2 linked regions of the Anolis sagrei genome follow. The protein of the gene in region 1 purifies or fractionates together with the protein of each later gene. This does not show direct contact. Links are inferred from orthologs where the notes say so. Each region holds a gene or a part of one and is shown on either strand. Other genes may lie near its edges.

Region 1 (7,253 bases):
CTTTAAATTGCATTATATGGCAGTGGAAATGGGGTTAAAGCAGGCATGGGCAAATTTGAGTCCTCTTAAGCGGCTGAGGGGGAAAAGGAAAGGGCCTGAGGCTGTTAGGAATGGTGGGAGTTGGAGTCCAAAACACCTGGAGGGTCCGAGTTTGCCCATACCTGGGTTAAAGTGATAAAACCTTATTAGATTTTCATTCTTGGAAGTGAGAGTCAATAGGAGAATACCTTGCTATATTCAGGCCTAACTGGCTTTTTGCAATTTTTTTCTTATTTTAAAAAAATAAAAAGTTGATTACAAGGGCCAAATCCACACTTTCCATCTTAAATGTAAGCTGCTGATGTTGTCAATTTCTGCCCAGGCGACTCTGACTCACGGAGACCTTATGATTGAGAGACCTCACTGAGAGACCTCACCCTGTCCTCAACTGCTGTACTCACCTCTTGCAGATTCAGGGCTGTGGCTTCCTAGACTGAGTCTACTCATCTATAATGCAGTTTTCCTCTTTTCATACTACTAAGCATTATCATCTTTTCTACTGAGTCATGCCTTCTCAAGATCTGACACAGCGGATCTCAATCTTAGATAACAATCAATCCACTGGGTCATTGGAAGATCCTAAATCATCTTCAAGGACGATCCTATTTAGCATTGTCGGCTACCAATCCATACATGGAGGTTTTTTTATAAATAAAATTGAAAAAATGAGTTATAAATGGCAGGACATTTTTGACTAAGAGTACAATGTTATGCACAGATAAAAACTATCAAAATGGAATTTTAATTGACCGTAGTGCTCAAACTAGCAAGAGGTCACATGATATTTACTTATTGTTTATACTAGCCATCCCCTGCTACGTGTTGCTGTGGCCCAGTTTGTGTATATGTTTTGTGTGTGTATATGTTTGTATATATTTGTGTATATGTGTATATATGTGTGTTTGCGTATATGTATGTGGTTTTGCACGTATGTTGTAATGTAATTTTTGTTTTTTGGCTTTTAAAGTCTCTTCTGCTGTGTTTTTGGTGTTTTTATGAGTGACGGTCACTTGTTGGCCTGATAGGTGTATTGTGTCCAAGTTTGGTGCCAATTTGTCCAGTGGTTTTTGACTTATGTTAATCCCACAAACGAACATTACATTTTTACTTATATAGACTAGCTGTTCCCTGCTACACGTTGCTGTGGCCCAGTGTGGTGATCTGGAAAATAAAGTAATGAGAAAGTGTTGGTTTCTTATATGTGGGTGGCTTTATAGTGGTTCAATGCACACAAACTTTGTTTCAGGCACAAATAATATGACGAATAATATTGCAGTATAGTAATATATATATATATATATATATAGAGAGAGAGAGAGAGAGAGTAATAATATATAATACTAATATTGTGCTATTGTAATAATATATATAGGAGCCCCTGGTGGCGCAATGGGTTAAACCCTTGTGCCAGCTGGACTAAAGATCGACAGGTCGCAGGTTCAAATCCGGAGAGTGCACGGATGAGCTCCCTCTGTCAGCTCCAGCTCCCCATGCAGGGACTTAAGAGAAGCCTCCCATAAGGATGGTAAAAGATTAAAACATCTGGGCATCCCCTGGGTAACGTCCTTGCAGACGGCCAATTCTCTCACACCAGAAGTAACTTGCAGTTTCTCAAGTCACTCTTGAGAATATACACACACATATACATACACACACACACACATATAATAATAATAATACAATGTAATAATATATAATACAATATAACATATAGCAATATTGTAATATAATATTAATAATACTAATATATTAAATATAATACTGCTGATAATATATAATAATATATAATGATAATACTCATTTATTATTGTATATTTAAGTTGTATTGTAATATTTTTAATTGTGAGCTGCTTTGAGTCTCAAAATGGAAAGATAAAGTGGGATATAAATATATCTATATAAATAAAAATGTAAACACAGCAGAAGAGACTTAAAATGCAAAAAAATACCTCCCAAAAATTACATCACAATGCATGCGCAAAACTACACATATATATGCAAACACACATATATAAACAAATATATACACACACACATATATATATATATACACACATATACAGCCCCCCCCCCCAATCAAAATCCTGGCTACGGGCCTGGGTTAAGCAGTCAAGCCTCTAATGAACTGTGAAGTTGTGACCCTGAGTGTGCCTGGAATGCGTAGGGAGGATCCAGAGATAAGATTTCGTTCGTCCTTCTTACTTCGGTGCTTTTGTCTTGTTTCTGTTCTTTTGGTTGGGCGTCAATGTGAGTGTGTGCTGTATATTTGCTCTACTCAGTAAAGCTATACGTTTGCTTTTACTGAAGTCTCAAAGTGTCCATTCTTCTAAGCTTCAAAGCTTCTGTCGCACTCTGACACATTTGTAGGATTAACATAACTCAGAAAACACTGGGTGAATTGATACCAAATTTGGACACAATACACCTATCAGGCCAACAAGTGACCATCACTCATAAAATCACTGAAAAGCACATCAGAAGAGACCAAAAAAGCAACAAAAAAAACCCACACAAAAACAAACATTACACTGCATGCACAAAACCACATATATACACAAACAAAACACACATACACAGGCAGGCATGTAGCGGGGGGGGGGGGGCTTGAGGGGCTTCAGCCTCCCCCCCCCCCCCGAAATTCTCATGGTGGTCTGCGAAAGGCCTTACTGGTACATTATTTAAACTGTTATGTTTATTCATATCATGATCTGATCACCATGCTCAATATATCCCATATGCATGGGGGTATTGGGGTAATGATACAAAAGGTTTGCTAGGCTAGACCCTCTTTCACTCAGACTCAGCCCCCCCCCCCAATCGAAATCCTGGCTACGGGCCTGTACACAGACTGGGCCACAGCAACATGTGGCAGGGGATGGCTAGTAAATAAATAAAAATTGTTTAAAATATTGTGTATAAAATATTAAGGCTGTCTGTTTAAGGCAGTGTTTTTCAACCTGGGGGTCGGGACCCCTGGGGGGGGTCGCGAGGGGGTGTCAGAGGGGTCCCCGAAGACCATCAGAATATACAATATTTTCTGTTGGTCATAGGGGTTCTGTGTGGGAAGTTTGGCCTAATTCTATCATTGGTGGGGTTCAGAATGCTCTTTGATTGTAGGTGAACTATAAATCCCAGCAACTACAACTCCCAAATGTCAAGGTCTATTTTCCCCAAACTCCACCAGTGTCCACATTTGGACATATTGAGTGTTTGTGCCAAGTTTGGTCCAGATTGATCATTGTTTGAGTCCACAGTGCTCTCTGGATATAGGTGAACTACAACTCCCAAACTCAAGGTCAATGCCCACCAAGCTGTTCAAGCATTTTCTGTTGGTCGTGGAATTTCTGTGTGGCCAGGTCTGATTCAATTCCATCGTTGGTGGAGTTCTGAAAGATCTTTGATGGTAGGCAAACTAGAAATCCCAGCAACTACAACTCCCAAATGACAACATCAATGTACTCCACCAGTATTCAAATTTGGGTGTATTGGGTATTTGTGCCAAATTTGGTTCAATGAATGAAAATCCATCCTGCATATCAGATATTTACATTATGATTCATAACAGTAGCAAAATTACAGTTATGAAGTAGCAACAAAAATAATGTTATGGTTGGGGGTCACCACAACATAAGGAACTGTATTAAGGGGTCGCGACATTAGGTAGGTTGAGAACCACTGGTTTAAGGTGTATATGAAACATTAAATACATTTTGTGTTGGGAGTTGGTCCCATTTCCAAGATACCTCATTATGTATAGGCAAGTGTTTCAAAATACAGTTTTAAAAAAATATCCGAAATCCTTCTGGTTCCAAGTCTTTGGGATAAGGGATGCTCAACGTGTGTAAACAGCACCAGACCTGAGTCACCCAGTGGAAGCACTCAGGCTGACCCTTCTTAATAGGCACTTTTGCTGTTTTCCCCAAATGGGCAAGCCCACGCTTGATTTACCAATGCTCCTAGCTACACCCTCCTGAGCTCTCCAAATCGACCCGCGAAGAAATGGTTCCTTCCAGCGCTGCGCGTCACTTTCGGCTTGGGAAAAAAAAAAGAAGACTGGTTCCACCCAGCTGTTGCCGGCCGGTGGTTCATTCCAGGCACACCCTCCTCCATAGGAATGGTTTGCCCCATCATCAGAGAACTTTATCATGCCGGGACCAAGGGAAGGAGGAGGCGCTACATTAGAACAATAATTATGATCGCCCTGCCCCGGACTGAAGGGAATTGAACGTCTCATCCCGCGGCTCTCAGGTTAGCTTTTCTTGAGTTCCCCCTTTCCCAGCCAAGTGGTATAGCCCGCGTCCCCTATATCTACTATTATGGGGGAATGTACCATTGTTGTATTGGGGGGGAGGAGAGAGAGAGTGGTAGGGAGGTGGCTTGGGTTGGAGGGCTGGGTTTATAAGACACATACGGGTCTTTCTTCAAGTGCCCTCGAAAGGGTCCAATAAAGGGCTGTATAGGGTTGTGTCTCCCTCCTTAACCCCCTCCCCCTCTTTTCCTTTCTCTTCAGCCAGACTAGACTGGAGGCTCTCGCGCTGCTCTCGCGCTTCCTTCCGGACCCATGGAGCGATGCGCCTGCGTAGAAAGGGAGCTGGACAAAGTGCTGCAGAAGTTCCTCTGCTACGGGCAGCACTGCGAGCGGGGCCTGGAGGAGCTCCTCGGCTACGTCACCCGGCTGAGGGAGGAGCTGGGCGCCGCAGGTACAAGCGGGGCCTACTCACAGCCGGCTCCCTCCTTCCTCAACTGGCGAACAAAGGAGTCTAGAGCAGGCCTGGGCCGGCTTGGGCCCTCTGGGTGTTTTGGACTCCAACTCCCACCATTCCTAACAGCCTCAGGCCCCTTCCTTTCCCCCCTCAGCCGCTTAAGCGGCTGAGGGGGAAAAGGAAAGGGCCTGAGGCTGTTAGGAATGGTGGGAGTTGGAGTCCAAAACACCCAGAGGGCCCAAGCCGGCCCAGGCCTGCTCCATCCATTCAGTTTCAAGTGGAATGTGCTCAAGTTCACTGTTAATGGCAGTTAGTGATATCAAACCTCTGGAATTCTGCGTTGAATTGAACAGAAATGGCTGGAAATGGGCTTTGTTGAACTAGAGTTTGGGCAATGCCAGAGGCACAATAACAAAGGATACATTGCCCCACATGCCACCACACAACCAAGTCAATGTACCCAAAGAAACGCATCGTATGGTGATGGTATGAAAGCTGGGTCTGGAAGCTCTGAGTGTTACACTGTTTCCGCTTTGCTCCTTTGGGAGTGCTGTTTGCGCAACGCAGAACAGAACACAGATATTATAGAAGGAATGTAAGAGTTCTTTAATGGTAAAACCCTAACCCTTACCTGAACCCTAATGCTTATCCTAAAACCTAAAGGTTTTCCCTGACATTAAGTCCAGTCGTGTCCAACTCTGGGTGCTCATCTCCATTTCTAAGCCGAAGAGCCGGCATTGTTTGTAAACACCTCCAAGGTCATGTGGCCGGCATGACTGCATGGAGTGCCGTTACCTTCCTGCCGGAGCGGTATATATTGATCTACTCACATCTGCATGTTTTCAAACTGCTAGGTTGGCAGAAGCTGAGGCTGACAGTGGAAGCTCACGCCGCTCCTCGGATTGGAACCTCTGACCTTTCAGTCAACAAGCTCAGCAGCTCAGGGCTTTAACCCACTGCACCACTGGGGGCTCCTATCCTAAACCTTACCCTAACCCTAACCAAACCCTAAACCAGGAGTCCTCAAACTTTTTAAACAGAGGGCCAGGTCACAGTCCCTCAAACTTGGATGGCCGGATTATAATTTGAAAAAAAATATGAATGAATTCCTATGCACATTGCACATATCTTATTTGTATATGTGCAATGTGCATAGGAATTCATTCATATTTTTTTTAAAAACAGTACAATAATTAAGATGAAGAACAATTTTAACAAATATAAACTTATTAGTATATCAATGGCAAGTGTGGGCCTGCTTCTTCACTGATGAGATAGGATTGTTGTTGTTGTGTGCTTTCAAGTCATTTCAGACTTGAAAGCGAGGGCCGGGTAAATGACCTTGGAGGGCTGTATCTGGCCCTCGGGCCTTAGTTTGAGGACCCCTGCCCTAAACCTTACCCTAATCCTAACCCTTAACCTTACCCTAAACTTTATCCTAACCCTCCCCTCCTTTCTATCCTTCCACCAAATGCAACTACGAAGTATATTCCCGCCCTCAGTGTTCTGCTATCCCCTTCCCTTATTCAGAACCGCCATTGCAGAATATGTGTAACGCTCGGAGCTTCTGGACCCAGCTATCATACTATCGCCCATCGTATTTTGCCACATGAGATGAGATAATAATAATAATAATAATAATAATAATAATAATCTTTATTTATACCCTGCCACCATCTTCCCAATGGGGACTCGGGGTGGCTAACATGAGGCCAAGCCCAGAAATAGCAATACAATAAAACGAAAAAGATTTCAAAGAAACAAAATAGCATCAAATTAACACAAGGAATGACAAAATAAAATAAATAATCTCAAAATAACATGATAGAAAATGAGCCCTGCAAACTCCTCTTCCCTTCTGTGGGGATGGAAAACATTAAAGATAATATCAGGACAGTAAATAAAGAGCAATACTCAAAATTCCAGACAAGAAACAATCAGGGCCAGCTAATACCTCGCTACAAAGGATCTCCCAGGCAGCTGTCAGCCAGGTTTTGAAGCTGCAGGGCCATTCAGTGCTAATTAGGGAGCCCCTGGTGGCGCAGCAGATTAAACTGCAGAGCTGCTGAACTTGCTGACAGAAAGGTTGGCGGTTTGAGTCTGGGGAGCAAGGTGAGCTCTCGCTGTTAGCCCCAGCTTCTGCCAACCTAGCAGTTTGAAAACATGCAAATGTGAATTGATCAATAGGTACCGCTCTAGCAGGAAGGTAACAGCCTTCTATGCAGTCATGCTGGCCACCTGAGGAGGCATCTACAGACAACGCCAGTTTTTCAGCTTAGAAATGGAGATGAGCACCACTCCTTAGAGCTGGACATGGCTAAACTTAACGTCAGGGGAAAACCTTTACCTAAGGTGTCCATTTGCAATATTCACACATGCCTCAAGCAGACAAGAGTTCTTTCTCCCACTCTGGGCATTTCAAAGATATATAAACCTTAGTTGACCAGTTTCCAACAGACCCCTCAACCTCTGAGGATTCCTGCCATAGATGTGGGTGAAACGTCTGGAACA
Region 2 (7,300 bases), on another chromosome or scaffold:
ATGCTGGATTACAACTCACGTATTCCTCATCATTCGACGTCATTGGCTGCTATTCATTTTCCAGTCCCAGTTCAAGGTGCAGGTTATCACCTACAAAGCCCTGAACAGTTCAGGATCCATCTACTTTCGTGACCGCATTTCCCCTTATGAACCTGCACGATGCTTTCATCTTCAGAGGAGGCCCTCCTCTCGCTCCCACCTGTGTCACAAGCGTGGCTTGTGGAAACGAAGGAGAGGGCCTTCTCTGTGGTGATCCCTCAGCTTTGGAACTCGCTCCCCAGAGAGATTAGGCAAGCACCCACTCTGGCAGCTTTTAGGAAAAGCTTAAAAACTTGGCTTTTCTGGTGCACTTTTGAAGAACGAGTAACTAATTCCCATGTCAAGTCCTGTCTCAGTGTCAATTGTCTTTCTGATGCACTTTGTCTCATTCCTCAGTTGAGAATAACCTCATTGTTTATCCCAGACGGGTCTCTCATTTAATACAGCACTTTATCTATCTCACCCACGGGTTTTACAATTTTTACTTCTCGCACTTGGCCCGGCTTGCCCTCATTTAAATTCTTGTACTGTTTTTATATTCTGTTTTATTATGCTATTGTTACTACTTTATTGGCTTATTATGTTATTGTATAAGCACATTTATTTGATGTTATTGTGTGTCTTGTATGTATTTTATTTTGCTTTATTGTAATTGCTTGGGCTTGGCCCCATGTCAGCTGCCCCGAGTTCCTTTGGGGAGATAAAGGCAGGGTACAAATAAAGTTATTATTATTATTGTTATTAATAATAATGATTACAGTGAATGGGAATTGGGATATATCTGAAAGGCTGTAGTTTGTTCTGTTTAGTCAGGAGAGTTTAAATTGAGATCCAGGGCTTGTGGATATGGGTTACAACTACCATTATCCCCAGTCTTCATAGCAGATAATCAAAAGTGATGCGAGTTGTTGTTCAGTAACACTTGGAGACCCAAATTGGGTAAAAACTAAGCAGCACTGACCACTATATGAAAAAAATATAGTTGGCCCTCTGTATCCATGGATTCTCCATCCATGGATTCCACAGCATGAAGGCAACCCTCAAGCTGATGTGGTCCTCAATGAAAATAAGGCCCCTTCTGCACTGCCATATAAAATCTGGATTATCTTCATGAACTGGATTATATGGCAGTGTAGACTCATGGCCCCTTCCACAGAGTGGAATAAAACCCATTATCTGCTTTGAACTGGAAGCAGTGTGGACTCAGATAACTCTGTTAAAAGCAGGTATTGTGGGATTTTCTGCCCTGATATTCTGCATTATATGGCTGTGTGGAAGGACCCTGGGTTATCTGAGTCCACACTGCCATAGATTCTAGTTCAATGCAGATAATGTGGGGTTTTATTCAGCTTTGTGGAAGGGGCCTGGTGTTTGAGAGGTTTGGGGGTGTAGGGCCTGATGGTTCTGTGGTGCCCAGACAGAGGGCGTGTTGGAGCAAGATGGTTCTCCAGTTGGGAGAACGGAGGGGGTTTTGGAGCAAGATGTTGTTTCTGAGTCTGGGAATTAATCTACTTTGGAAGCTGACAGGCAGGGAAGGAAGGATAACATGAGCTCATCCGAAGAAGCAGTTGGCTTAGACAGAGATACCAGGCTGCTCCTGCAGGGGAATAAATTTAGGTGCAAGCGAAGCCATGGGAAGGAGAGGCAGAAGCAGGCCTCTCAAGGTCAAAGGAATGCATTCATATTTTGCAGCCTTTAAATGAGAGAGAGAGAGAGAGAGAGAGAGAGCTGTTAGGATTCCAGATCAAGCAACATCGCTACTGGAGTGGGAAACTCCTGTTTTGTTCCTGGTTCATGCTCTGTAAGCTCAAGGCACAAGATTCCTAGTCAAGTTTTGCTTCTTGTTTTAAGGATTTACGTACTGATTCATGCTCTTGTTTTGTTCCTTGTTCTAATGTTCAAGTTGTAACTCTTGTTTTTGGATTTACCTATTGCCTATGGGACTTGCCTTCTATAGTAACAATGGGATTTTTACCCTATTGGCCCTTTCTTATATGTGTTTTATCAATAGTCTCTTTACTCCCACGTCTGCTTTCCTGGTGAGTGCTATGAGCAAGGTGAACCCCTACTGAGGTGCCACACCTGGGTCCACACTGTCAAATAATGCAGTCAATGTGGATTTTATGCAGCTGTGTGGAATAATAATAATAATTTTATTTTTATACCCTGCCTCCATCTCCCCAAAAGGACTCAGGGCAGCTTCAAAGGGACAAGCTCAAAGAGAACAAAGTTAAAACATAACACAATAAGATAAAATCAAAACAAAACAAAATAAGAACAGTGGATTGTAGCAGGTTTTTTGGGCTATATGGCCATGTTCTAGTGTTAGAGACCCTAAATCGGGTCTAATACTTAGGTCCAGGTCACAGGAGCACGTAAGGAAGAAGGCAGTCCCAGGAGAATATCAAAAACAACATTTTATTTTCATAATGGCCACGAGGAAGTCGGACAGCCGTGTTAAGTGCGTGCAGGCACCAACACTTGCAAGTGACTGCCGTACCACTCTTCGGCTTCTTCAAACTTTTATACAACAAGGTAAACAAAGATATTTTGGTCATGGAACGTACTTTTACTCTTTCCAGTCCCCCTCCCATTAACCTTTTGATGAACTGTGCCTTCTTGCACCTGGCCTGAATGTCTGGTTGTCAAAACAACAATTTGTTCTCTTTATGCAGATTTTGCGCTTCACCACAAACCCATTTCCTATGTAAGCTGAGTAGGTTAGCAACTTAATATTTTAGCCACTTAACTCAAGCATAAGCATGTACCATATATGTCACCTCACTCAGGGGGGTTGCAAAACTTCTTCTCTTTTAAGAACATCCTCCCTCTTGCTGACATGTTGCTCTTTCCCTGCAGGGAGATATATCTTTCTTATGTTTTGTTGCCAAAGCTTAGTTATTGCAAAAATCACTCATTGTCTCCTTCACTAGAAGCAATCTCTCCTGACAGTTCACCTGCATTGATGGCAGGCATCCTCAGAGCTTATGAGGTCTGTTGGAAACTGGGAAAATTGGGTTTATATGTCTGTGGGATATCCAGGGTGGGAGAACATCTATATCAGTGGTTCTCAACCTGGGGTCCCCAGATGTTTTTGGCATTCAACTCCCAGAAATTCTAACAGCTGGTAAACAGGCTGGGATTTCTGGGAGTTGTAGGCCAAAAACATCTGGGGACCCCAGGTTGAGAACCACTGATCTATATAAATAAAAATGTAATGTTTGTTTGTAGGATTAACATAACGCAGAAATCACTGGACAAATTGACACCAAATTTGGACACAATACACCTATCAGGCCAACAAGTGACCATCACTCATAAAAACACTGAAAAACATAGCAGAAGAAACTTAAAAAGTCAACCCCCCCAAAAAATACATTACAACGCATGCGCAAAACCACATATATCCACAAACACAATATATAAACATATACACAAATATATTTATTTATTTATTTACTTTATTTGTATACCACTCTTCTCAGCCATTAGGCGACTCAGAGCAGTTAACAACAAGCAGCGGCAAAAATTCAATGCAAACATCATACAGCCATTTAAAAAACAATTAACGCAATAATACACTAAGCAATTAACATCAATAACCATCAATAACCATCAATAAACAACTCACTAGCGTCTCATAACTAAAATCATAATCCAAGCTCGTCATCCGTTGTTCCGATTTCCTATAATTCATTGTAATTCATTGCACTGCCTATTCAAACGCCTGTTCAAATAACCAGGTTTTCACTTTTTTCCGAAATGCCATTAATGAGGGAGCCGATCTGATGTCTGTGGGTATACACACATATATGCATATACACACACACAAAACACATATACACAGACTGGACCACAGGAACGCGTTGCAGGGGACAGCTAGTATCACAATAAAACATAACATCAGAAAAACAATACCATGCTGAGTAATAACAATGATGAGTTAAGAGGGCTCTGAGTGTGTGCAAGGGGCCTTGGAAGTTAAAAGTAGACTTTTCCAGTGTTACTTCCCAGCTCGCCAGTAGGTGGCGCAACAGGACCACACATACGCCCTAGCCTGCCTTCACTCCCCTCCTTCACTACCAAGGACGGCATTGGACAGGTGCCGCCTCTTCTGCGCATGCGCCTGGGGCGGGACGTCAACTAAGCACCGTTGGGCGCAACGCCCCGCGATCTAAAAGTAGAGCAGGCGCGTCACTCTCATGCCACTTCCGGCAATCACCCCGCCTTCCCACCAATAGCGGCTGAGGGCGCATGCGCACTGCCTCGCGAGCGGCGAAAGCTGTTTTTCCTCGTTCGCTGATTCGAGACGGAGGAGAGCCTTCCTTCCCTCCTTTTCCCCCCTCCTCCCTCTTCTCCTCTTGCCGGCGATGTGGTCGCGCGCGGCGTCGGTCGTGACCCCGGGGTCCCTCGCGCGAGGTTGAGCGCCGGGCCGCGAGTGGGGCGCGCCAAGATGGCGTGTGTGCTGGAGGCGCCGCTCCGCATGAGCGTCCTGTCGGTGAGTCAGTCCCCGGCGGGAAGGAAGGAGGGAAGCGGGGCCGGGTAGGGCGGCCTCAGTTGTGGCTCTGAGCGCCTCAGAAGGAGGCTGAGCTGCCCCTGGCCGGCTCCCTCTCTCCCTCCTTTCTCCCAGCGCCTGTCATTCGCTCCCAGAGAGGCTCCCGCCTTCAGTAGTAAGCAGTGCACTCTAGGGCAGGCATGGGCAGACTTCGGCCCTCCCTCCAGGCGTTTTGGACTTCAGCTCCCACCATTCCTAACAGCCTCAGGCCCCTTCCTTTCCCCCCTCAGCCGCTTAAGCCATGCTCCAAGTTTAATCTATATAAATAAAAATGTAATGCTCATTTGTGAGATTAACATAACTCAACCATTGGGCGAATTGACACCAAATTTGGATACGATACACGTATCAGGCCAACAAGTGACCATCACTTATTAAAAACACTGGAAAACACAGTGGAAAAAACTTAAAAAGCCAAAAACAAACAAACAAACATTACAGCACATGTGCATAACCACATTTATACACCTATACGGAAATACATGCACACATATATACACATACAAGACGCATATACACAGACTCGGCCACAGGAATGCATGGCAGGGGATGGCTAGTCTCTTATATATGTATTTCTTGAGCCATGAGAGGTGGGTGACTAATAATCATCGTTATTATCATCAACATCCTCAGTAGGAATAGTTTATATGAACCTATGCATGGAAATACTCCCCACAGCTCCTGCCCACCTTTTTTGCATGATTTATGTAGATATGTGCGTGTGTTTCTGTATATCACCATGTTCAGCTGTCACAGGGCATTGTGGCAGCAGCCTTACTCTTACTGACCCTTACTTCTTGGTGTGTCCATATACACACCAATGTGTATGAGAGAAGATTTTTTGTTTTGTTTTTAGGCGCATTATCTAGCTTTGTATGTGTTTCAGACAGATTATTTTTATTTGTCTAAAAAAAGAAAAAGCAAACTTTGTAATGTGAACATTTATACTGTAATTTACTTTTAAAATTCAAACTAAAGCTGTCTTTTTCCTGAAACCATCATATCTGTAAGAATAATTATATGAAACCATGCTTGCCCTGTCTTCCTCACAGCTCCTTCCTTTTTGAGTGAATTCTGTCGAAAAGAATGTATGCTTCTCTTTGTAACTTGTGTTCAGCTATCACAGGGAATAGTATCATAGAGTTGGAAGAGACCACAAGGGCCACTCAGTTCAACCCCTTTTTGCCATGCAGGAACATACAATCAAAGCACTCCTGACAGATGGCCATCCAATCTCTGCTTAAAACTTCCCAAAGAAGGAGACTCTGCCAAACTCTGAGACAGCATATTATATGGTTGAAAAGCAGTTACTGGTACTGTCAGAAAGTACCCTTCCATTATATGTCTATCATGCACATTAGACCCCTATTTCCTACAGCTCCTTTGTTTTGGAGTAATTTGTTTGTGTGTTTCTGTGTTTAACATGTGTTCAGCTGTCACAAAGAATGGTGCCCGTAACTCTTCATTTCATTGATCTGGTGGTCTTAGTGAGATAAGATTTTTTTTTGTTTTTCAGCACACTATCTAGCTTTATATATACATTTTAGGATTGCTCATTTTTTATTTCTTTCTCTAGAAAGTAGAAATGCAAACTTGGTAACTTTCTGAATGGGAATAAATTGTGTGTGGTAATTGTGGACGGTTCAGACTAGAGCTTTCCAAACATTAAATGTTGGTGTCACATTTAAGACTTGCATCTTTTTTGTGACACAGTTATTAAGTTTTACTAGCAAACCATAGGTTAAACTAACCCTTACAAGAGATATGGGCACTACATAAATTCTAATGATGAAATGTATATGGACACAGCGTATCTCATTTATATTTTCAATTTTTTTGATTTACTGCTTATTTCACATTGACTTGCGGTTTCTCATTACTTCTGTGTGACACATCTACACTGCAACTAACACACAGTTTGGAAAGCTCTGGTTTAGAATAAGAGAGAATCATAGCATTTGAAAAAAACACAAAGGACAGCCGTATCAACTCCCTGCCATGAAGGAACACACAACCAAAGCACCCTGAAAGATGACTATCCAGCCTCTGCTTAAAAACCTCCAGAGAAGGAGACTCTACTACACCCCCAGGCACCATATTCCACTGCTGAACAACTTTCTAATATTTAGGTGGAATCTCTTTTCCTGCAGTTTGAATGGTGGCAGTAATCCATCATTTTGTTGACCCTGGTTTTGATGAAGATAATTTTTAATTTTTCAGCAAACTGTCCAGCTGTGTTTGAGTTTTTAGACAGTATTTTACTTTTTTAAAAATTCTTTACAAAATGGAAAGCAAATTTTGTAACATGTCTTCATTTTCTTCATGGGGTTAAATATAAACTATGAGGCATAGTTAATTACACACATTTTTATGTTTAATACCTTAAAAGTAATTAAAAAGTATCTGCAGTATAATGGAAGTGACTAGATACCAGTCTTTTGTTTTTGACAATTGGGCGGGAAACAAGTACAAGCCCTGCACTGCAATTCTCTTTTCTAGCTTTAGCCAGATAATGCAATGCTTTCCAGTATGATCTCTCTGTATCATATATATGTATATTAGGTTGTATGCCTTTATGAGGCCATATTTGTTTTGTATAGTGCCATGAATATTAACAGTGCCATATAAATAATAATCTTAATAGTGCAATCCTGCCTTGGACCTGATGGCCCTTAGATCTCCTTCTCACTCTATGATTCTGTCCAT

The links.
Region 2: the proteins of RMND5B (region 1) and ARMC8 purify together in Homo sapiens (affinity purification with mass spectrometry; 4 studies listed by BioGRID and IntAct, with this or other methods). This does not show direct contact. The link is inferred for Anolis sagrei from reciprocal best matches to the Homo sapiens genes RMND5B and ARMC8.

Annotation. Positions count from the first base shown.
Region 1 is NC_090022.1:76,387,301-76,394,553, reverse strand, and holds the start of RMND5B (E3 ubiquitin-protein transferase RMND5B), read left to right. Parts: upstream 1-4,105; 5' UTR 4,106-4,287; intron 4,288-4,549; exon of another isoform or gene 4,550-4,553; 5' UTR 4,554-4,600; coding exon 4,601-4,739; intron 4,740-7,253. UniProt on the Homo sapiens protein: Core component of the CTLH E3 ubiquitin-protein ligase complex that selectively accepts ubiquitin from UBE2H and mediates ubiquitination and subsequent proteasomal degradation of the transcription factor HBP1.
Region 2 is NC_090023.1:222,117,567-222,124,866, reverse strand, and holds the start of ARMC8 (armadillo repeat-containing protein 8), read left to right. Parts: upstream 1-4,279; 5' UTR 4,280-4,492; coding exon 4,493-4,537; intron 4,538-7,300. UniProt on the Homo sapiens protein: Component of the CTLH E3 ubiquitin-protein ligase complex that selectively accepts ubiquitin from UBE2H and mediates ubiquitination and subsequent proteasomal degradation of the transcription factor HBP1.